Tamandua tetradactyla: one gene and its partner. The protein of the gene in region 1 interacts with the protein of each later gene in a pairwise test. Links are inferred from orthologs where the notes say so. Each region holds a gene or a part of one and is shown on either strand. Other genes may lie near its edges.

Evidence for each region.
Region 2: the proteins of CD63 (region 1) and TIMP1 interact in binary tests that used the Homo sapiens proteins (3 or more experiments, as listed by UniProt). The link is inferred for Tamandua tetradactyla from reciprocal best matches to the Homo sapiens genes CD63 and TIMP1.

Annotation. Positions count from the first base shown.
Region 1 is NC_135333.1:122,724,603-122,736,474, reverse strand, and holds CD63 (CD63 antigen), read left to right. Parts: upstream 1-6,410; 5' UTR 6,411-6,525; intron 6,526-7,092; 5' UTR 7,093-7,094; coding exon 7,095-7,160; intron 7,161-8,134; coding exon 8,135-8,323; intron 8,324-8,503; coding exon 8,504-8,578; intron 8,579-8,680; coding exon 8,681-8,776; intron 8,777-8,888; coding exon 8,889-9,029; intron 9,030-9,251; coding exon 9,252-9,335; intron 9,336-9,481; exon of another isoform or gene 9,482-9,539; coding exon 9,540-9,605; 3' UTR 9,606-9,694; downstream 9,695-11,872. Other genes in the region: RDH5 (retinol dehydrogenase 5), read right to left, coding at 10,641-10,864, 11,083-11,246. UniProt on the Homo sapiens protein: Functions as a cell surface receptor for TIMP1 and plays a role in the activation of cellular signaling cascades. Plays a role in the activation of ITGB1 and integrin signaling, leading to the activation of AKT, FAK/PTK2 and MAP kinases.
Region 2 is NC_135353.1:122,541,898-122,552,818, forward strand, and holds TIMP1 (metalloproteinase inhibitor 1), read right to left. Parts: upstream 5,464-10,921; 5' UTR 5,311-5,463; intron 4,509-5,310; 5' UTR 4,501-4,508; coding exon 4,380-4,500; intron 3,593-4,379; coding exon 3,513-3,592; intron 3,331-3,512; coding exon 3,204-3,330; intron 2,974-3,203; coding exon 2,849-2,973; intron 2,041-2,848; coding exon 1,870-2,040; 3' UTR 1,772-1,869; downstream 1-1,771. Other genes in the region: SYN1 (synapsin-1), read left to right, coding at 9,545-9,607, 10,400-10,542, 10,634-10,708, 10,803-10,905. UniProt on the Homo sapiens protein: Metalloproteinase inhibitor that functions by forming one to one complexes with target metalloproteinases, such as collagenases, and irreversibly inactivates them by binding to their catalytic zinc cofactor.

The DNA of each region.
Region 1 (11,872 bases):
TTTCATTTTAGTGAATGTTGCTCAATCATCCAGGCCAGAAACTTGGATGTAGCATTACATCCTCTTTCTCTTGATTGTCCTTGAACTTTTCCACAGGTTGTTTCCTCTTCCAAGGACAACTTTCCCTTCTACCTCCACTTCCCCACCCCTGCAATAATCTCTGGGCCATTTTTTTTTTTTTTTTTTTTTTTAAGAGAGAGGGAGGAAGGGAAGGAAAGACAGAGAGAAGGAAGGAAGGATGGAAGGAAGGAAGGAAGAGAAACATCTTTAAACATTTTCTTGTTTTATTATATTTTGTTTGTTTGTTTGTTTTTTACATGGGCTGGGGCCGGGAATCGAACCGAGGTCCTCCGGCATGGCAGGCAAGCACTCTTGCCCGCTGAGCCACCGCGGCCCGCCCCTCTGGGCCATTTTTGTTCTTTCTTCAGGCCTCGGTATAAATGAGATTCTAGACATGTCCTCTAGGAATCCTTTCCTGACCTCCAAGACTCGATATGATGTCCCTCCTAGATATATCTGCACCATTCTGTGTGATGTGGAAGTTAATCACACAGCTTTTACTCTAAATCTAGGCTTCCTGGATTCAAATCCCAGCTTTCCGCCTTGTCTGACTATGTGAACTTGGACAAGTTACTTAACGCTCAGTTCCTCATCTGTAAGGTTTGAGGGATAACAATAGAATACCTATTTCATAAGGCTATGAAGATTAAATCCCTGCTGGTACACAATACTGAATGAGTTATTACTATCACCCCAACCTATTACCCTCATTACATTGTGAGATCCAAGAGATCAGAAACAATTTTTTTACCGAAGTACTGCTCCTCTGCAGTTCTGAATAAGGAATGAGTGAACCCTGCTAAGAAGCAGACCTGGTCAGAGTCACCACTCTTGTGAAGCTGAGTTTAGGAGCGCAAACTGTATATTTGTAGCCGTTAGGTGTTATGGGTGTCTGCCAATTATAGGGAGAAAGAGTCAGGAACAATTTGAGAGAAATGATTTCCACCTCCTGGTTCCTTACCCACCAGTTTTCTGAACTACACTTTATTCAAATAAGTGGGCAAGACTGCCATCTGGTGGTCTAATATGGAATTTCAGCTCCTTGGAGGTTGGACTAAAATCATTTGGGGGGGGCACACTTTGCATATTTTCACTTTGGATTTCTAGTTTGATAAGTTCCATATAATAATACATTAAGCCTTATCACTATCCCCAACTCCTCTGTCATCATGCCTCTTTCCTTTTGAGTTCCCTCAGGTTTGGTACTGTTTGGTTCCTTAGAGTTGCAGGAACCAGCCCCAGGAGCACTCTTTTGGGGGTTTCAAGTTTCCAGCTGTCCAGACTCAGTCTTGAGGAGGGGACCTGGCTGGCTTTAAGGAAAAGAAGTTGGGAGAGATCTGGACATTTAGACCTTTCCTCTCCTGATACCAATATAGGTTTACCAGGGTTTGGGGCCCCACCTACTGTCCTGGTCTCCTAGGCAACTGTCCCCTTGCCAGGGGTGCCCCTCAGAGGTCTGGGCGTTACCCAGGCAACCTTCAGGCCTGCCTCTTTCAAGGTCCTGACCGGTTCATAGCAAATATTCGTCTGGGCCTAAGGGAGATACTTAGATTTGAAGAGTGCGAGTTACCCGGAAAGGAAGGAGGCGGTGTCCTGGGGAAGGGGGCAAAGTTTCGGGGCGGGAAGGAAGGAGAGAGGTGCTGTGTAGCCTCCTGGAGAGGGTCCCTTACATTCCCAGAAAGAGTTGCTGCAGGTCCTGGGAGCCTGTCGCCAGAGCTAGAGGCCAGAGATGCCCAGCCACTGTCAGAGCTGCGACTGACAGAACGGAGAAATCACTGTAAGGAGGAGGGAGCCATCTTGCTGTCCTGCACCCCTTGCAGAACATCTTCCCCACACCAAAACTGCCCTGGCCATCAGCTATAGTGCTGCGCTCAGTGAGGAGTCGCAAACTTTCTTTCTTCCTCGGGGAGGAGCCCTAATCTCATCCCTTTTCACTTTTTCTTCCTAAAGGTCCTATTTTGGGGGGTGGGGGGGTGGAGGGTGGGAAGGAGATGTTAGTGGACCCATTCCCTTGCACAACGGGTCTTTCCAAGGAGGGGAGGGGGCTAGGTCGTTGGGATGTACCAGAGGAGGTGGGGCTTCCCTATGGGGCTTGCTTGTCCATTCTCCTGCCCTCCCAGCGTCAGCCTCTGGGGGTGTGTGGAGAGGCTATTCTGGGCTGGAGGAGGTAGGTTTGTGTAATGGACCCTTCCTAGGCCTCTGCCCACAAACCCTGGAGCCTCCAGGGAGGACCTCACAGTGTAATTACCATCCTCCCTGCACACCACTTTTTAAACCCTGTAATTATCCTGCTTGGGTCTCTAGGCAGCTTTGTTAACCTTTTTAGCCCCAAGGCCCTCTAGGAGAAGTTGGGAGGAGAGAGCCAAAGTGCTTGTGTTTGGGGAATGGAGACGGGATGAGTGTGTGCCTCAAAGATTTTTTTAGGGTCACTGAGTCTGACATGCTCTCAGAAGGTGCCACCTTTGTTTGGGTCACTTGTGGCCCCCATGCCCTGCAGCTGGCCCTAGGTGGGGGCATGGTGGAGCTGGAGAGCAGCCTGGCCTTGCTTTGTGGGGAGGGACAAGGGTGTCTATCCCAGTTCACCTACCACCAGCCAGTGCCAGGCACCTAAGGGGCAGCAGCCTGGGCAAACCGGGTCAGCTTGGTGGCATATCTAGATGCCTGACGCCTAAAGCAGGTGTGGGAGGCTCTGAAGGATGTGACAGGAAGGTCCAGGCCCATGGTCAGCCACATTCTCACTCACAGCCCCTCTTCCCCGAAGTCCAGCAGGCACCCAGGGCTCTGTGCTGACTCACCAGGCTATAAAAATAGGCTATTCTCGCTCCCTCCCTTCCACAAGCATATTTGCTGGGGGGCAGGGTGGGAGGGTGTATCTATGCCCCTGCACCATCTTTCCTCTCCCCTTTGCTTTACCAAGTTGTTGTCATTGCTTTGCATCTTCCACAGTTTGCTCTCAGCTTCTTGCCCTGGTGTTCCTTTAGGAGGGTCCCATTCTCCTGGCCCCCTTACTTTAGTTCTTCCTGTGCCTATCCAGATGGCTCCATTTCCTCCTCATTCCTTGGTCCATAGCAGGTGCTCCAGACCCTGCCTAACACTGCTCTGGAGAAGCCGCCTCATCCAATGAACACTTCAGTCATCTTGTCCTCTCTGCACTTTTGGAGACTTTTGGCCACTGTCCTCTCCTCTTGCCTTGAAGCTCTCTTTTCTCTTGGCCTCCTAGAGAAAAAGAGAAAAGCATTTTGGAACCCCAAGAGATCTGGGTTCAAATTCTAACACTGCCCTTTACTGCCTTGGACTCCGGATATGCTATTTCATTTCTTTTAGCCTCAGTTTCCTCATGTCTAAAATAGGTAAAATAATACTGACCTAACAGGGTTGTTTTCAGGATTACATGTGCTAATGGATATAGATGCCCAGTTCTGGCATAGCACAGAGGTCCGGTTTTGCAAGTTCCTTTCCCTTGCAGTCTCTTGACAGGCTCCTAACCCCTATCCACGTGTTCCTTAACTGTAAGGGTTCCCTGTGACTCTGCTTCTGTCTTCTTCTCTTGCTCTGACTCTCATCCACTCATCGCTTCAGATATCACTTATCTCTAGTCTGATTCCTCTCCTGAGCTTCATAAACCCAACTCCTGGTAACCCTTCACTGCCCTTCAGGTGCCTGCTGCCTTGGGTGACCACCTCCTCCTCCCCTGGGCATCCAGTTTCAGAAGCTCCAAGTCGTCGCTGACTCTTCTCACTTGTCTCCTCCTCCTTCCACATGTAAACAGTCACCCAGTCCTTTGATTCGCCCTCTGAAATGCTGGTCATATTTCCCTCCTTTCTTTTCTGGCTTCTCCTTGGTTCCAGCCCTCACTGTCTCCCTTGGACCATGGCATTGATGTTCTAGCTTTCCTCCAGGCCACCTGACATTCATTCCTCCTCATTCTGATGTGGTGTTCAATCCCAAGATAGTGTCACCCGACGGATCTAAAACTTTCTACTACTCTTCATTGCCTGTAGAACATTGGTCAAGCTACCCAGTGGCCCTCCTGGTCCTCAACAGTCCTAAAACCTGGACAACTTTCCTTTTTGCTTCCTGTTGAGAAGTACTCTCAATCAAATTACAGACATGACGTTTTGCCCTTCAATATTTTAGTATGCATCTTTAAAGAATAAGGTAATTCTTTTACATAAACATAACATCATTATCACAGCTAACACAAATAATTTCCTGATGTTGAATTCTCAGTTCATATTCAAATGCCTTTCACAGCTGGTTTGTTCAAAGATTCTATCAAGGACTAAGTATTGTACTTGGTTGGTCTCTCAAGCTTGATCATTCAGACCACCTTTCCATCCATCTTTCACTACATCCTTCCCTGAACCTTTTAAACAGCCAAATCCAGCCTGCCATGTACTTTTTAGATTACCCCTTTTTTTGCCCTGAAATGGAGCTTGCTTCTTATTTTCCAAGGTCACCTCAGAGAACACTACTGCTTCTGTGAAACCTATTCTTCTTCATTCAGTAGAGGCCCCACCTGTCCATCCCTCTGAGTTTGTCCAGCTGCCATTGGAGGCCTCTGCCCCTCTTCACAGCACTGGCTTGATCCTGCCCGAGGGCAGGACTACTGTCTTCGTCTTCATGTTGCCCCTGGAATGTGGCATATGCCCAGCATCGAATGGCAGTGCAATAAAAACAAAAAACAAAACTGATGAATATTTCTTTCTTCAGCATTCTCTACAGCCTGCCTGCAATTTTAACAGGGAGTAAGGTCCAAAACCAACTTGGTGTGTTCTGCCAGAAGGATTGTGATCCTGGAAATTTGTTCTCAGCCCAGCCCAGATCTCTTTCCTTTTGCTCTTACAGTTTTTTTTCCCCCTCCTTTGGGTACACACACACACACACACACACACACACACACACACACACTCCATAACTCAGGAAGTGGTTCTTGAGGCAGGACCATAAGAACCTAAGTGGTGGGGTTCTGGCTGGGGAAGTAGGAGTCTGATGGCTGCTCTACTCCTTTGCCTGTTTACCCCTCCTCCTTCTGGGGACCTCCTTCTGTGGGGGGTTGGGCCCCTCCCCAACCCCCCACAGAAGGGAGAAGGCAGCTTTAGCCCACCACCTCTCCTTCCAGCCACCGTCACCTGGTTTTGCTTTCTAGGATAATAAAATAAGTTTTACTTGCTAGGATGGGGTGTCTTAGGGGCCCCCATTTCTCCCCCCAAATCAGCTACTCCAGGAATGCTAGGAGCACAGATTTTGCCAACCTCCCTCCCCACCAGAGGAACTTTGATGTGTCATGATTGACTGGGTGGGGTGGGGGTGGGGCATTGCCCCTTCTCAGCCTACTGCCCAGGGGCCTTGGAAAACAGAAGCTGTTCTAACAGAGACGGGGAACAGGCATTCCCACTCTAGAATGTAGGGAGACTCTCAGGGAAGTGAGGCCAGGGGCTTTCTGGAAGTATTTACAGAAATACAGAACTTGATCCTGGGCAGTTCACATAAACTTCTGCTGACCAGGGGATGGGTGGGGACTTGAACGAAGTTGGAGGCGGAGGAGAGGCAGGGGGCCAGCTCTGGGTTAAAGATGAGGAGGCCTCCGCAATCCATCTTGTCTCTGCCTGAGCTTGAGGCAGAAAACGGCAAGTTCACTGTCAGATTCGCACTGAAATAAATGTAGTGACATCCGTGCTTCAGAGAGAGAAAGGGCCTTATTTCACCGCCACCAAGAAAGGAGACAGGAGTAAGAAAAACCTCAAATCTGTTTAGGGTTTTTATGGATTCAAGCAATGGGAGATGGAGTTGCTACCATTACAATGAAAAGTAACTGAATTAAGTAAGTAACCATTACGATTAACGAGCACAAACTACAGCACCATGTAAAGGAGTGGGAAGTAACCATTACAATAACAAGTGTAAACTATAGTATGTAAAGGAGTGGAACCATGCTAAAATAACCATTACAATAACAAGTTGAAACAACTACAGATAGTGGTTAGAAGCTCTGCCGCTTGGATGCTCAGAGGGTAACCGGGTCGCCCATCCCTCCTTGGGCTCTCACCCACCTCCTTCCCCGCTTCTCGGAACCACAGAAAACCAGGAGGCGTTTGGTCCCGCGCTCCAACTCGGGCTGGCACGGGGTTGAGGGTGCCAGAGGGTCCCAGAGCCCTGAGGTCCTGCCCTTGATGCCGACCCTTTGCAGAGCTGGACGCCGTTTTGTGGGTGGGGGTACGTGGCCCTGAGAGGGCTGGGGGCTCGGCCCTCCTTTTGCAGGCCCGGGTGACTCAGGCCGCGGCTGTTCCCGCGTCACATGAGGGAGGCTGGCGGCCCCCCGGGCGAGGCGGAGGCGGGGAAAGGGCTGCGGCTGGAGTCCGGGGCGGGGCCGCGGCGCGGGCGGGGCCGGGCGAGCCGCTCAAGAGCTGCTCGAGAGCCCCTCAGCCGCGGCGAGAGAGGAGCGCAGAGCCTCGGGGAGCCCAGGTGAGGCCGCGGGGCCCACGGAAGGCTTCGGAGCGGGGCGGGGGAGCCCGCGGGGCGGCTCCTTCCTCCCGGGGCGCGCCGCGAGCCGCCGAACGTCTGTCCGGCGCAGTCCGGCCGCTTCCGTTGCCCTCGAGCAACTTTGCTTTCAAGTTCCAGAGTCCGGGCGAGGCGGGAGGGAGGGTGCTGGCCGAACTTTTTGTTCTTTTTGGGGGTGGGGTGGATGGTGAGGTTAGAACACCGGGGAAAGTGGCCTGGGAGGCAGTCTTGGGCTGGGGATCATTTTGGAGGCTGGTTGGCGGGGAAGGGGTGGGCAGAGAGTCGGCGTCAGGCCTGAGCCCCCGGGAAGCGGCGGGCTGGGGTCCCGGCTTTGCGGCCGTAGTCCCCAGCCCTTTTGTAAGTGGGGGGAGAGGGGCCTGGGAGACGTGGATCTGACCGCTGGTTTCCGGGTGGGCGGGGCCGGGAATGGAGGCCCGGCAGGGAAGGCCTCCAGGGCGGGCCGAGAGCCCGGAAACCGCGCCCCCGCGTCGGCGGGTTCTAATCCCCCAGCCCTCCCGTCTGTCCTCGCAGCCATGGCGGTGGACGGAGGAATGAAATGTGTCAAGTTCTTGCTCTACGTTCTTCTGGTGGCTTTTTGCGTGAGTGGAGAGGAGGGGCGGGGAGGTGGTGGTGGTGGTGGTGCGGCGATAACAGGGTGCGGGGAAACCTGGCTCCAGAGTGGGGAGGGCCGAGGGAGGTAGAATGGAGGCAGCTGGAGACCAGATGTGGCAAGCCCCGGGCCAAAGACAGCTCAGCGCCCCCTCCCTCACAACTGTGGGGATCCCTGAGGCGTGTTTGGACCGAGAATAGCCAGCTGGGTGCTTAACATCTTAGCCCTAACCCCTCCTGGCTCTTCCTGCCTGTGACCCAACCACTTGTGATATAGGGCAGTGGGGTAACCAGCCAACGGCCTGATGTTATCGCCACGGGGCTTCCTTCAGCTTCCCATCCTCCTCCACCCTTTCTTCCCTTTCACCCTTCATTCCTCCCCATCCTCTTATCCTCCTTCACCCTTCTCAGCTGCTTGGGGACAGGGGAGGGCTCTGCTCATCTCATCTTACTCCTGCCCTGGGCTCTTGGCTTGTGAGGCTACTGTCCAAGGAGGGGCAGACCACTCTTGACCCCTTTTGTTCCCCTCTTCCCTTCCCTGGCCTAGGAAGGAACCATGGCCACAGCTAATGGGTGTGGGGTAGGCAATGGAGAGGGGCGGTTCTGGGAGAGGTCTGAGCCTGAATTCTCATCGGAAACACCCACTCTTGGTCAGGAGTCTGCCCTGGGGTCATGGCTTTCTGAGAACTTCCACTTTTGCTTTATGCAAATTCCGGTGGTTAAAGAGCAGCCTGAAGGAAAGCGTGACTCCCAACTCCCTTCTCCCTGAGTGCTTTGAATAAACTCCTTAGACTTCACCATGGGGCAAGGATGGGCCACCCTCTCCCACACAGTCAAAAGTTTCAGTGGAGGTGTGAGAATCTCCCTTTCCAGGGTGGGATCAAGTCTTTTTCCTCCATGGTACCCACCATAGGAGGGCTACTGGGATGTGGGTCTGGCCTAACGCTGACTGCTCTTCTCCCAGGCCTGTGCAGTAGGGCTGATTGCTGTGGGTGTGGGAGCCCAGATTGTCCTGAGGCAGATCATTACTCAGGGAAACACTACTGGCTTCCTGCTGTCCATGGTCATCATTGCCCTAGGTGTCTTCCTCTTCTTCGTGGCCTTTATGGGCTGCTGTGGGGTCTGCAAGGAGAACTACTGTCTTGTGATCACGGTGAGTAAAGTGGGGCCAGCATGGGTGCTTGGGCCCAAGGAAGGGCATTTCTGTGGTGGGGATGGAAAAGGGTGCATGAGATGGAAGACCTCTTTGCAAATGTTTCAGGGAGTGGCTGGGCTAGAGCAGACCCTCTCACCCATAGACTCCAAATCTAGCTTCTATTCCTTGTATCTGTAGTTTGCCATCTTCCTGTCTCTTATCATGCTGGTGGAGGTGGCTGCAGCCATTGCTGGCTATGTGTTTAGAGAAAAGGTAAGTGAGGAATAAGGGGAGGGCCCTGTTTCAGAGGTGTGGCTGCTCTGGGACTCAGATCCTCTGATTTCTGACCTCGGCAGCTCTCCTCCCCACTTCTAGGTGATGTCAAAGTTTAGCAAGGACTTCCAGGAGTACATGCAGGATTATCCAAAAAACAACCAAACTGCTTCATTCCTGGACCGTATGCAGAAAAAGGTGAGTGGAGTTCCTAGGAAAAGGGGTAGTGGGAGAAGAGGAATCTCATCTCCACACTGAAAGTGGAGGTTCACTTGATAACTGTCTCACTCCTATCTCTCCCTTCTTCCAGTTTGAGTGCTGTGGGGCGACTAATTATTCAGACTGGAATGCCATCCCTCTGCAACCCATGGGCAGAGTCCCTGACTCCTGCTGCATCAATGTCACTCATAACTGTGGGATTAATTTCAAGCCAGAAAATATCTATACCAAGGTAAGGAAGTGGCTGAGATAGTAAGGGACTTAGGAAACCTGGGAAGTATTTCAAGAGGCAAGGGAGACAAAGGATTGGAGGTGGAGAGGGTTTGGGCTCTGGGAAGTTCAATGTCAGGGATGGGAAGGGGTTCAGGTATGCTAGGGGTGGAAAGAGATGGCCCAGGGGAGGTGGGTGGAAAGTGTCTTATAAGGTTTTCCTTGTGCACTTCCCATCCCTCAGGGCTGTGTGCAGCTTATCGGGAACTGGCTGAGGAGCAATGTGTTGTTGGTGGCTGCAGCAGCCTTGGGCATTGCCTTTGTGGAGGTGAGAGGTACTCTGAGCAGGGGCTGGGACTCAGTGGCCTCTGAGGAGCAGCAGCAGTGGGGAGGAGGGTGCCAAGGAGGAGTTACTGGCCTGGGGCAGGGAGTCCTGGGTGGGTTTGGCATCCCTTGAATTTTTGGGGGGTTCACTGCCCTTCTGGCTCCTCACCAACACTCTTCCATGTCACCTCTTCATCTTTTCTTCCAGGTCCTGGGAATTGTCCTTGCCTGCTACCTTGTGAAGAGTATCAGAAGGGGCTATGAGGTGATGTAGGGGGTCTGGTCTCAGCCCCCTCATTTAGGGGAGTGGAATAGTAAACACCAGGTTTTTCAATTAAACGGATTATTTTTTCAGACCAAAAAGAGACAGTCTCAGTATGTCTTAAAGAATGATATTTTGTCCCTTCCCTCTCCTTATCCAAGTTCTTTGTCCTTGGGGACTGTTCTCTTCACACCTCTAGGGAAAGGCAGGCCTATTTTGGGGGGTATTTGGGGAAAGAGAATGTTTGCTGAAGACAATGGATCAGCTGGCAAGTGGAAGGGGAAATCTGGGGAGAATGTGGTCCAGTGTCCTCCCCTGTCCACCTAGGCTGGTGACCAGGCTCCTGCTGAAACATTTCTGAAGTCATCTCTTACATAAATCAAAAGGATTCTCCAAAAAGGTCCTACTTTGGAAAGCCCAGCCCACATCCACGTTGGACATCTCTCTGGCTTCTACCTACCTCTAAGGGCCCAACAGTCCCCAACCCTACCAGTCCTCAAGGGGACCCAACTTTTTTCACAGTGGCAATAAGCTGTCTTGTGTCCATTAGATTGGGGTCACGGGAGAACTTAGGTTCTGGCTCTTATCCTGGCTCTGACACCCCTTAACTCTCTCTCCTCAACCCCCTCCTTTCCCCCAGCCCTGGAGAAAAAGAGAGAAAGGCCATTCCCACTCCAAACACTGAATTGCTACTTTACTCTAACTAGGAAATCAAGGAAACTGTATGAAGTGCCCTCTTGTGGCCATTCCTCCAGGCAAGCTTTAAAGGAGATTACTTATAGATAGGACACTGTCTCCTTGTCACCGCCCACCACCACCCAGGCCAGAGACCCTGGGCAATAGTCAGCCTAGGTTAATTAACACTTAAATGGGGATAGTCTCCCACTGGGTACCCTCATTTCTACCCACCTATGTTATTAATAATTTATTTTTTAACAATACACATTTATTGAGTATCTGCTTTGTGTCAGGCACCAGGCAGTACCAGGATGGGGATCAGACTTAGTCCTTTCCCTTGAAGAACAATCTCTTGCAGGAAGGCCACATTCAGGAGACTGCCTGGGCAGGCTTGGGAAGGACCCAGGCGAGCACAGCATCCACCAGGCTGGCTGGCAGGTAGGAAGCCGGCAGCCAGAGGACCTTAGCATCCCAGCCTGGGCTGTAGCGGGTTCGGGGGTGACGAGCAGTTAGGGCATGTTCCAAGCACCTGCTCACCTTGGTCAGGTCCGGGTCACAGATTAGGTTCATGATGCGCGCTTGTACTTTCAAGTCTGCAGCCCAGTGGGGTGGTTGACATCAGTGACCCTCTTCCAGTCCAGCTCACCTCAGACCCTATCTTCCAGGTCCTGGGGCTTATTCAGCAGGGGGTGAGAGAGAGCCTCAATCTCTTTCCCAAGCTAGGGGAGTGGGCAGGCTCCACAAGGGTTGGTGCTGTCTTGTGGCATCCCGATTTCCCTTTATATGCCCCTTTAAGAGCCCAGCTACTCACACGTGGTGAGGAAGGCCTCTCCATAGCAGGCCCGTGTTGCAGGAGGTAGCCGTGCCCAGCGGGTCTGCAGGGCATCCTCCAAAGTCTCCAAGTTGGTCACAGGAGTTTGGAAGAAGCCAGGTTCCACAATGGAGACCTGTACCCCAAAAGGAGCCATGTCTCGCCTGGATGGGAGGCAGAGGGAGAGCTCTAGGTTATTGCCCTATGGGGAGGGGACCAAAAGGACATGAATGGGGTTGCTGAGATGGGAAAGTTATCTTAGGCCATGTTCAGGGGTCCTGTCAGTGAGGAGGTCCCTGCTGCCCTGGAACTAGTGGGACAGAGGAAGGGAGTTATCGAGGCTTGTTATTGTTTATATTTTCTTCTGTGAACTAGAGCAGGGGTCAGCAAATTTGTTCTTAAATGGCCAGATAGTAAATATTTTAGGCATGGCAGGCCAAGAAACAAAACTGAGGATATTATGTAGGTACTTATATAACCATTTACAACATAACCATTTAAAAATACACAAAACATTTTTCGCTTGTGGGCTATAAAACCGTAAGTGGCTGCCATAGTTTGCCAACTCCTGTTCTAAAGGAACTCCCACTTCCTAGCTCCCCATGCATATGTTTTTTTTTTTTTTTTTTTTTTTTGCATGGGCAGGCACTGGGAAACGAGCCTGGGTCTCTGGCATGGCAGGCGAGAATTCTGCCTGCTACACCACTGTGCCCCCCCGCCCCGCGTATGTTTTGAGTCCTGGGTGTTAGATATAAAAAGTATAGACTGTGGTATTTGCTGGGGGGTAATC
Region 2 (10,921 bases), on another chromosome or scaffold:
ACTGAGGAAATAGCATCAAGGTCACCAAGTCCAAAAACTGGACCCTCCCCTTACAGTTGTACCCATCAGCAAAGAATGCTATTCATCCCTTTTGGTGAAACGGGTTCAGATCCTCCCAGGGCATAGTCAGGGTGCAGATGGCAGAATTGTGGTGAGTGTCTCTTGCTGAGATAGATAAGCGCTGGATGATCAAAATCTTCCACCCGTCCTGATCCAGCATATACGTTGGGCCCTGGAAGAACCTTCCAGGGGTGCAAAAGACTCTAGGGCAGGACCAGAGAGGATCCAGAGGGCCACCTTGGTGGCCCAGAATGTCCTGAGGGTGCCCTGGGTTACTGGTAGGTCTAGAGTAGTGGGAGAGAATTTGAGTGTCCTTTTCTTCACCGAAGAAGATATACTGAAGTCTTTTATTCAAACTAATAAGACTCCTGGGTGGTCCATTGAGTGTTTCCAACAGTCTGAAATTCTGGTTCCCCAGTGATCTCATTTGAATCTGAGGTCTTCTGGAATATAAGGACCAATAGCTAAGGACGGTGAAGGGCCCAAAGGAGCCTAGGCCCAACTGGAGATTACAGGAAGGCCTAAGGAAGGGAGTGTTTGAAAGGTCCCTCACCCAGGTTTTATGGAGGAAGATGAACCAGAGAAGTGAGGGTCAGATCTAGAGGCTCGTTTTTGGGGGAGGGGGCAGCTGTGCAGCGGGAGGTGTGTGCAGCAGGTGGATGGCATACCTGGATGGTCCTGATTTTGAACCTTAGGTGTATTTTATTATTGTAAATAATTTCTTCAGAGTTGGTCAGAGCAGTGAGGAGAGGAGAGGTAGGATCTGGAGAAGCGGAAAAAGCAGGGCAGAGGTTGGGGATTGTGAGAACACAACCTCACCCCATCCCATCCCTCCTATTCCCATACCACTTTCAAGGAATCTCCTACAGGCCACGGGTGGTCGTGGGTGGCAGAGTTACTTTCTTCCAAATTCCTCAGCAAGGTTATGTTGCGGGCTCTTGTTCTCTGGAGGTTCCCCCTTTCACTCAAATCAGACTCACAGTACAAGACCTAAGGTAGGACTCTATATTTTCTGTGATTTTTCTGTAAACCTACTTCTCCAATTAAAAAAATGATATATGTATATATATTTTATATATATATATATTCAACCCTAAGGGTGGAAACATTAGCACCCACAGGTTTAGATGGGACACCCTCACTTGACATCAGGACAATGCTTGAGGCAAGGAGAGCTATTTGCCAATCCATAGGGCATCTGTCATTGAGCTTGTTATCTAGAGACATTTGTGACTAGGGGAATTTACTATTGAGATAGTGATTTGTCAGCAGTGGGAAGAATGTATAAACTAGAGAGCCCTGTGCAAATAGGAATTATAAATTAGTACATTAGAACATTTTAAACTATTGTCTAGAGAAACTATGCAGTAAGCTGTGGTTGATAATGCAGGTTAAATTACCATTCCTGAATTGTACCAAATGTTCCACACTAATGCAAGATGTTAATAATAGGGTGGTATATGGGAACTCTGTATTTAAGCATGATTTTTCTGCCAAAGTACAAGTTCTCTAATTTAAAAAAATCATGTTGTAGGTCACCAATGTTAATGTCAGTGTTGAGAATTATTACCAAAATATCAAACTTTATGTAAAATATTTTTAAAAAACACTAATTTTGCAGCCCTCACCCCCACAACTTTGGTCAGAATGCCGCCACCAGGTCATCAGTGAAATATGTTTGTGTGGAACAAGACACATGGACACTGCCTGCTGGGTGGTAGTTCTTTTTATTTCATTATCGGGGAGAAAGATGGGAGTTGGAAAGGGGGTGAACACTGGGCAGGCTCAGGTTTCTGCTGGGAGTAGGATTCAGGCCATTCGGGGCTGTAGGGACTGCCAGGTACACAGCCCTGCCTCCCGTGGAAGGCAAGCAAGGTGGCGGCTCTGGAAGCTGTTCTCAGAGCTTGTGAGGAACAGGTCAGTCCACAGGCAATGAGTATCGCTCTCCAGCTTGCAGGGGATGGATAAACAAGGAAACACCTGGAGGAGAGAAGGGTGGCACATCTCAGAGAAGCCCTCCCCTACCATCCCCATGGGGCAGAACTTTCCCCTCCTTAACGTTAATCATCAAGTTTCCAGGGAGTCTGTGCCCCACCTGGCACAGACTCAAGAACAGCCCATCCCATTGGAGGGGAACAGCCATTGATCTCTGCAGGGTAATGTTAAGCCAGTGAAAGGTCCAGTTTTCTGGGAATGGTGATTGAGGACAGTTACTAGGTGGGGGTCAGGCAGGGAGGTCTCCTGGCAAACAGTCCAAAGGATAGTGAACAACTGACAGTAGTAGGGAACAGGAGGTGGCTGGCAAACTTAGCCAGTGGGGCATCAGAGGACAACTCTGAGCCATGAGGGAACAGTCTTGGAACAGTCAGAAAATCAAGGTAACAGTCCCTTGTGTCAGGAAAGTCAAGGTTGTAGAGCAGAGCAACAATCAGATGTGCTAGAATACAATCAGTGGATTTGAGGAATAGCACTTGGGGTTCTTGGAGAACATTCCAGGGAATCCAGAAGGTTGGGACAGACAGAGGGACTGGAGAAAAGTCGCAAGAAAGAGTGGGAAGAACAGGGAACAGCCAATCCCAAGGTATCAGACACAGGGCAAGGGAACAATCAGAATTTCCAAGGAAATAGCCTCAAGTTTGGGGGAATAGCGAGAGATCAGGGAAGGTCCTAGGATTTGGGGAGCAGCCTTAGGGATAAGAAGTCGCCAGAGGAGTAAGAAACAATCCCAGGGTTTGGGGACGAGCCCAAGGAACTATCTCCAGGATGACAGCAGGGCCCAAGCACTCACTGTGCACTCCTCACAGCCAGCAGAGTAGGCCTTGGTGAAGCCCCGGCGCTGAGCAAAGCTCAGACTGCTCCAGGGAACCACGAAGCTGCAGGTAGTGATGTACAAGCCTCCCTCCTGCAGGCGTCCTGGAACGGGCAGAGGGAGAGAGTCAACAGGAAGCTTCTGATTGGCTGGCCCAGGGCAAGGGCGGCGCCTGATTGGCGTCCCTCGTGCACGAAAGCCCCTGCCTTCTGATAGGCTGAAATTAGGGCGGTCCCCGTTTCAACTGGGATCTTTGAAAACCTCGCTCCCCCTCCCCGCGGTTGCTAGGCAACGTCCGAGCTATGGGTTGGCGTGGCACAGGGAGGGACCTCACCAGCGATGAGAAACTCCTGGCTTCGGTTCTGGGACCGGTGGAAGTATCCGCAGACGCTCTCCATGGCTGGAGTGTAGATGAACCGGATATCAGGAGCATCCCCCAAGGCATCGAACCCTTTGAACATCTGTTGATGGATGAAGGGAAAAATCTCTGTTTTACTGATATAATCTCCCGCTCCATGTTCTGCTGAAGTCCTACAACATCCTGAGATCACAGCCAACTTCCTCCTCGACCTGTAGCCTCAGGCTTCTATTTTGATGGGGAGGTAGATGTTAGGAATTGCTGGGGAACGGGTAGGAGGAATACCTTGGTCATCTTGATTTCATAACGCTGGTGTAGGGAGGTCTGGTTGATTTCTGCGGGCCCTACGAACTTGGCCCGGATGACTGCAGGAGAAAAGGGAAAGGAGTCAAATGGACGGCACGCAGACAATAAAAATTAAATAATCACAATAATAAAACTAGCAGAGCACATTCTTAAATAGGGATTACTGACTGGCCAACAGCACACTAGCGCTTTATGCCTTTGTTAATGGATCCATCCGGTTAATGGATCCATCCGAATATTGACAGCCTACTCTTTGCCAGGCACTGCTCTAAGCCTTGTTCATATATCCCTTTGTCATTTTCCCCACAAATATTTTGGAGCACCCACTCTGTGCCAAGCACTGTTCTGGGTGGTAGGGACACAACAGTGAACAAAACACAAAAATCCCTTCCCTTGTGGAGTTCACATGCTAGCCAAGGGGGGAGACAGACTAGAAACAAGCAAAATAAATAAGTATATGGGATGTTGGAAGGTATTAAGTGTGGTAGAGAATTCCAGAGGTGGGGGAGGGGGGCTGTTCAGGAGTACTAGGGAGCAGGGGCTAAATTTTTAAATAGGGCAGTCAGGGAAGGCTGCCCTGAGAAGGTGACATTTGAGGCAGTCACCCATATGGATACCCGGAGGGAAGGGTGTACCAGGCAGAGGGAGCAGCCAGTATAAGGGCCCTGAGGTGGGACTGAGCCTGGTGTACTCACGTAAGTGGGAGGAGACCAGTGTGGCTAGAGCAGAGTAAGTGGAAGGATGGGTGGAATCTTGTTCTTCAGCTGGGTGTGCCACTGTCAACCTAATCAGACTAAGAGGGAACAGAAACATGGAGTGTATGGGCAGCATGGGGTGCACACTCACCAAGGTCCGAGGTGCAGAAGGCTGTCTGCGGGTGGAGTGCGGCACAGGTGCAGGCTCTGCTGGGGACTATCAGCCACAGCAACAACAGGATACCAGAGGCCAGGGATGTGCAGGGGGCCATGATGTGTTCTGTGGGAGGGGAGGGGAGGGGAAGGGAGGGGAGGGGAGGTCAGTAGGCTCCCAGCCTAACTGATCTGCTGGCCTGGGCAGGCTTCCTACCCCAATCTACCCCAGTACGTCCTGGAGGAGGATTTGGAGGATTTTAAGGGGCTTGGGGATGTGGAGGACTCAAAGAAGTTTAGCGGGTTGGGAGAGTTTAGGGGGCTGTGAAGTTCTGGTGAATTGGGGGATTAGAGGGCTGCAGAGTTTAAGGGGACTAGGGGAATTTGAGGATTTAGGGGAATTGGGAGAATTTGGAGGTAAGGAATTTGGGGTTTGGGGGCTGGAGGAGTTTGGGGGAGGTTGGGAATTATTTAGAGGCTGTAGACTTTGAGAGGTATAGGTGGCTAGGGAAGTTTAAGGTTTAGGAAGGTTAAAGAATTTGGAGGTTGGGGATTTAGGGAATTGACGGAGTTTGGGGGGTGAAGGGGGTAGAGTGCTTGGGGGATTTGGGGGTAGAGGAAGTTTTCAGATTTAGGGGGTTGAAGTTTGACAAGTTTGGGAAATGGGAACTGGAGGAATTTAGGGGAGTTGGTAGGTTGGGAGGAGTTTGTGGTATTAAGGGGTCACAGGTATGGATATAAGGGGTAGAGAGAGTTTTGGGAGGGGGTGTGGGTAGAGGATCAGTTCCTTCCACCCTTTTCTCCCTTGACCAGCCCAGGATCCTGATGCCCACAGCCAGACCGTGGTCACAGAAATGGACAGACCTGGTTGCCGTTTAAGCTCCCGCCCAGCCCCAGGCTCTGCAGTGCCACCCAGGCCCCTTGCCTACCTCTGGTGTCTCTCTAGGCGATGGGTCTGCGGAGATGGCGGCAGGGTCTGAGCGGTACAGGATAAATGCCCGTGCGAGGGGCGGGGGTGGCAACGGCGCGGAAACCACAGGCGTCCAGGCTTCCTGGATGCATTACTCATCCGCCCACCATCACTGCAGAGGCCAAGGGGCGGGCCGCTGGGCTGCGGAAAAGGGGCTGCACCCTCCTCCTCTCCCTCCCCCCGGGGCCTCAGGCCCTAGCCTTCCCCCTCCCCCATTTCCACGTGGAGCACCAGTCCTTTCGAGCAGGCTCAATGGAGCGCTTAGAGGCAGGATTCCTCCAAGTCCTCTCAAATTTCCAGACCCCTTCCACATTCCTCAGCCACAGGGATGGCTGAAATCCTAATTAGTTTATTCCTTCAACAAGCATTTATTATTGTGCACCTACTGTGTGCCAAGCACATGCACAGAAAACCCTTTCCTGACATTCTGGTGAAGAGCAGGGGAGGCGGAGAGAAACCAATCAAGTCAAAGCAGTGAAGGAGATAAGGGACTTGGAGGAATACAAGGTGGAGAAACTGAAGCACAGAGTGGTTAAGTGACTTATCCAAGATCACAGAATTCATTAGGGGGAGAATTGGGATTTCACTGAGCTGGGTCTTAACCCACCCTCAAAAAACATAGGCAAATAGCCAGCATTTATATGGCAACTACTGTTTGCCAGGCAGTCAGCCTAGTTTATCTCGTTTAAAATTCAGATAGTATTTGTAGTATTCCCATTTTACAGATGAGAAACTATGAGGCATAGAAAGGACTGAAGAACCTTCTCAGAGTCACAAGTTATGGCTGGGATTTGAACTAGCTCACTAGCACCAGGCTCTTAACCCAGGCGGGGCACAGTCCTGGCAAGGAGGGAATGGAGGGAGAGAGTAGAATGTGGTGAAAGAGGCCAGTGAGTCAGTAGAAAACTGATCCCCACCCCATCCTGCCCTGCCCCTTCCCCACCAACCCTCCCACAGCCCTGGTGGGGCATGAGGTGAGGCAATCACTGCCCACCAGCCTCCAGATAATGCCTGAATCTTCCCTGGGGTTCTGGGGGCCTGAGAGCTGGTTAACATCCCTGGTTAATTCAGGGACAGTAGACCAATAATAACGAAGATGATAGTGCTAATAGCCGCCACTTATTGAGCACTTACTGTATACTGTGCCCTAAAGTCTTTGTGTAAATTATTTTATTTAATCTCCATTCCCCCTTTGCTAATTAAACTAGATTAACTCAGGGCACCTAGACCAATAGTAAGGAGGATGACATCAACTAGCCTTCACAGTTCGAGATTACTAGGTATCAAGCATCCTTTCAAAGTCTTTGTATGTTCATTATCTCATTCAGTCAATCCCAATTAGATTACCTTGTTAAAGAATGCTGGTTATGAAGGGATATTAAACTAATAATAATAACAATGTCCAACATTGGTTGACGATTGAGACTTTCTTTATGCCAGCCAGATACTGGGCTAAATTCCCCTCCCCTACACTGGAAATAACGAATTTATTCTTCAGCAACATTCCAGTGAGTTAGATGAAGAAACTGAGACACAAAGGGGCTGAGTGACCTTCCTAGAAATGAATGAAGAAATTACTTTCTTGAAGGGCAGGAGAGGCGGCAGTAAACCAAGACCTTGGAGAAGCTAGCTGTGAAAGTGGATGAGTGCCTGGGGGTAGTAAAAGTGAATGAGATGGGGTTGAGTAAGTCAGTAGCGTGACTGAGGGAGAAGTGAGGGAAGGGAAATTTCTGCTGCAGCCCCTCGCTGACCCTAGTTCTGTTTCTGTGAAACGTACGTCAGCACAGTTTGCTACTTAGATGTGAGGGGCTGTGTTGGTCTGGGTTATCACACACATTGTGAAATCAGTGAAGTTTTGTAGCAGGGTGTCTGGGTGTTGGATAATCTGAGGAGCCGGATGGGGGTGGGGGCCCTTGATGTCCAGCTGGTGGCTGCACAGCTAACACTCAACAATCCCCACAACATAACAAGAGCTTGGGTTTGACTATGTCCTTTGTACAGATCAGGAAACTGAGGCACAGAGAGGGGTTAAGTGACTTTCTTGGGATCCTACATGGCCTTAGGAAGAAGAGAGGCCAAGATTTGAGAACTCTCCAGGAGGACCCCAGATCTAAAGGTCCATTCATGCACACACATGTGAAGGCACATATACACAGTCTTGTGTTCAGGTTCAGAGGAAACAAGGGCTGTTTTTGAAAAGAAGGATCTAGAAACCTTGGGGTGTGTGCATGTGTGTGAGTAGCCGTCTGGTATGTTTCAGCCTCTAACACTGTGTGCTTCTCAGACTTCTGTGTATGTGCCTCTGAGAGTTGTGTGTGTGCCTCTGAGAGTTGAGTGTGCCTCTGAGAGTGTGTGTGTGTGCCTCTGAGAATTGTGCATGTGCTTCTAAGAATTATGTGTGCCTCAGAGTTGTATGTGTGCTTAAGAAAGTTGTGTGTGTGCTTCTGAGACTTATGTGTCTGTTTCTGAGAGTCACATGCCTACCTGAGTGTTTTGTATATCCCTGTGTGTTCTGTTGCTTCTGGGAGTTGTGTTTCTGCCTTTGTATCTGTGTTGTCTATGTAATTGTGAAAGTTTGATTCCCTCTCTGTGTGCTGGGTGTATGCCTCAGGGTTACATCATGTGCATGCCTCTGCATTGTTTCCCTGGCAAGCTACCTAGAGGACCCGGAATACCCCATCCCAACACTGAGCCTCTCAGCACTACCCCCCCCCCCCCATAATGACGTCAGTCATTTGGGAAATGAGGAACGTGGAGTGGGGGGGAGGTGAGGCAGAGGGAGGGTGAGGTCTGAAGGTCAGTCGGTCACTCTGAGCCTGCGGGCTTCCTGTGCTTGTCGGGAACTGGGAACTGCCTCCGCCCCAGCATCCCCTCCGGGAATGGCATCTCTCTACCCTGTCAGACACTGGTCTCCACAGCAGGAGGGGCGTGAAGAGAGACCCTGCATAGCATACATGCTATGGCAGGGCTGGGATCATCCAACCCCATCCCTTCTATCCCGCCCAGGGCCTGGGGAGACTTGAGGTGTCCCCCACACCCGAGTATGTGTATGTGAATGCGCGCGCGTGCACATGCGCTTTAGGAATGTTGTGTGCACACACCCAAGAGTGCTAGCTTTGTACTTAGGAGTACTGGGGATGTCCCTGACCATTTGTATGCCTCTCTGTGTTGTGTATATGGCAAGGCATGCTGTGTGCGTCCAAATATACTTTTAGTGTCCAGGAGTGTGGTGTGGATTGCAGCGGCTATGTGAACACCTAGAATTATGTGTGTGTACCTCTGTTGTGCAGGTCCTTCTGTTTGTTTTGCAGGTACCTGAGGGTGTGATATGTGTGCCTGTGAGTGAAGATGTGTCCAATTTTGTATCTGTGCCTGTCAGAGCTGTATGTGCCTTTGTATCCTTTGGCTGTGCCCCTGAGGATTGTTTCTGTGTTGCCTGGGTTATCGTGTGAGTCCCTCTGATTGTTATGTGGTTAGGCGAGAGGAGGGGGGCAGTGTTGTGTCTGTACCCCAAAGTGTTGATTGTGAGTCCAGGAGTGTTGCGTGTGTGTTGCTGGGTAAGGAGGCAGGCCAAAAAGGCTGGTCACTTTCCCGTGCTGAGCATGTGGCTGGATGAATGACTGTTGTGGGTGTCCTGAGAGGTTAGGTGTGCTTTGGAGCCTGTGTTGGTTGTGGGTCTCTCAATCTCGTGTCTCAATGTGCGTGGGCATCTCTGATTTTGGTTGTGTAGTTCTGAATGTGTGTAGCTCTAGGCTGTGTGGGTGGGGAACAAGGCTTGCATGCAAGGCCTAGCTGTGGGGTCCAGTTGCCACATGCTCACCACCACACCCCTATACACACATGCACACACACTCACCTCCCCATCATTCACCCACTGTGAAAACAAACTTTCCCTTTCCGGAAAGTCCCCCACTTTTATCCCATGCTTCTTCCTGGGAAAGCATGGGCAGGAAGTCTGGAGACTTGGGGGTGGTGGGAGGAGGGGTAGGCAGGCAGGGCTCTGGGTTCAATTCCCAACTCGAAGGGCACTGTGTGACCCCTAGCTGCTGTCTGCCTGTCTCTGACCTGCCTCTTCTGGGAAATGGCCCATTACATTGTTCCCACTGGATGGGTTCCCCTGCGCACCACTCTTGCCCCTGGCACAGGGCCCTCCTACCCTGATTGGACCTCCTCTGTCTTTTCACCCTACTCAGCTCAGCAGTACAACGTACCCTGTGGTTGTGAAGATGGGACATGCACACTCTGGGATGGGTAAGGTGAGTCCCTGAGGGTCAGGAGGTTGTTTGCATGTGTATGTGTATTTGAACACAGTGCATGCATCTGGCATCATATGTTTATATATAGATGTGATTTGTGTATTCAGCATATATCAGTAATTCTGTATGATTGTGTTCCCACGGGGGGAGGCCGGGCTTTATCTATTTGTATATTTGTTTTCTACATTCAGCTGGTTTTTCTTGTGGGCCCAATTTTCTATCCTGCACTCGGCCAATTTTGTGCAATTTTTGTTAGTTTATCCAGCATTGTGTAAACACATATCTGAAGGCCTTTGTATTGAACATCCACAGCCATAATCCTTATGCTCAAGGGTCTTGGGGTCCTTGTATGCTTCCATCCATCTGACTTTGTCTCTGTGTGTACCTAGAAAATGGACTTGTAATTTGTATGTTTGAGTGCTTCTGTATGTTTGTATGTTGTGTGTACAACCGATGTTCTGCCTGGGGCCCATGTGTGTATACTGTGTATACATCCAATTTTTTAACAGTTTAAGAGATATATGCCACACAATTCACCCTTTTAAATTGTACAATTCTGGGTTTTTCATGTTCACAGAGTTGTATACATCTTTGTGTCTGCATGTTCATGTAAAAAACAGAAGGCCTAGAATTATGCGTGTTTGAGTACCTTGGTGTGTCTGTTACTATACTGTGTCCACCTCATTTTTGTGCACTCACTTCCCCTGTGTGTCATGTATTCCCACTTCCTGAGGTACTCCCACTGCTTCCCCAATCCTGACCAGGCCCTGCTCTCCACCCCCACTCTCACAGGTCAAGGTGGATAACCAGCATGACTTCCAGGACATCGCAAGTGTTGTGGCACTGACCAAAACATATGCCACTGCTGAGCCCTTCATCGATGCCAAATATGATGTGCGTGTCCAGAAGATTGGGCAGAACTACAAGGCCTACATGTGAGTGGGGAAACTGAGGCCCAGGGAGGGGTCCCCTGCCCTGTCCCGTCCACCCCAGACCTCTCTGACCCTCTCTCACCCTATCTACCAGGAGGACATCAGTGTCGGGGAACTGGAAGACGAACACTGGCTCTGCAATGCTTGAGCAGATCGCCATGTCTGACAGGTGGGCTGCTCAAGCTTGGGACAGAAGAGTGAGGGTGGCAACACAGCCACCCAGGCAGGGCCCTGATGGGTTTCCCTGCCCCATGCCTTGGCAGGTACAAGCTATGGGTGGACACGTGCTCAGAGATCTTTGGGGGACTGGACATTTGCGCAGTGGAAGCTCTGCATGGCAAGGATGGAAGGGATCACATCATTGAGGTAAGAGCACAGAGGG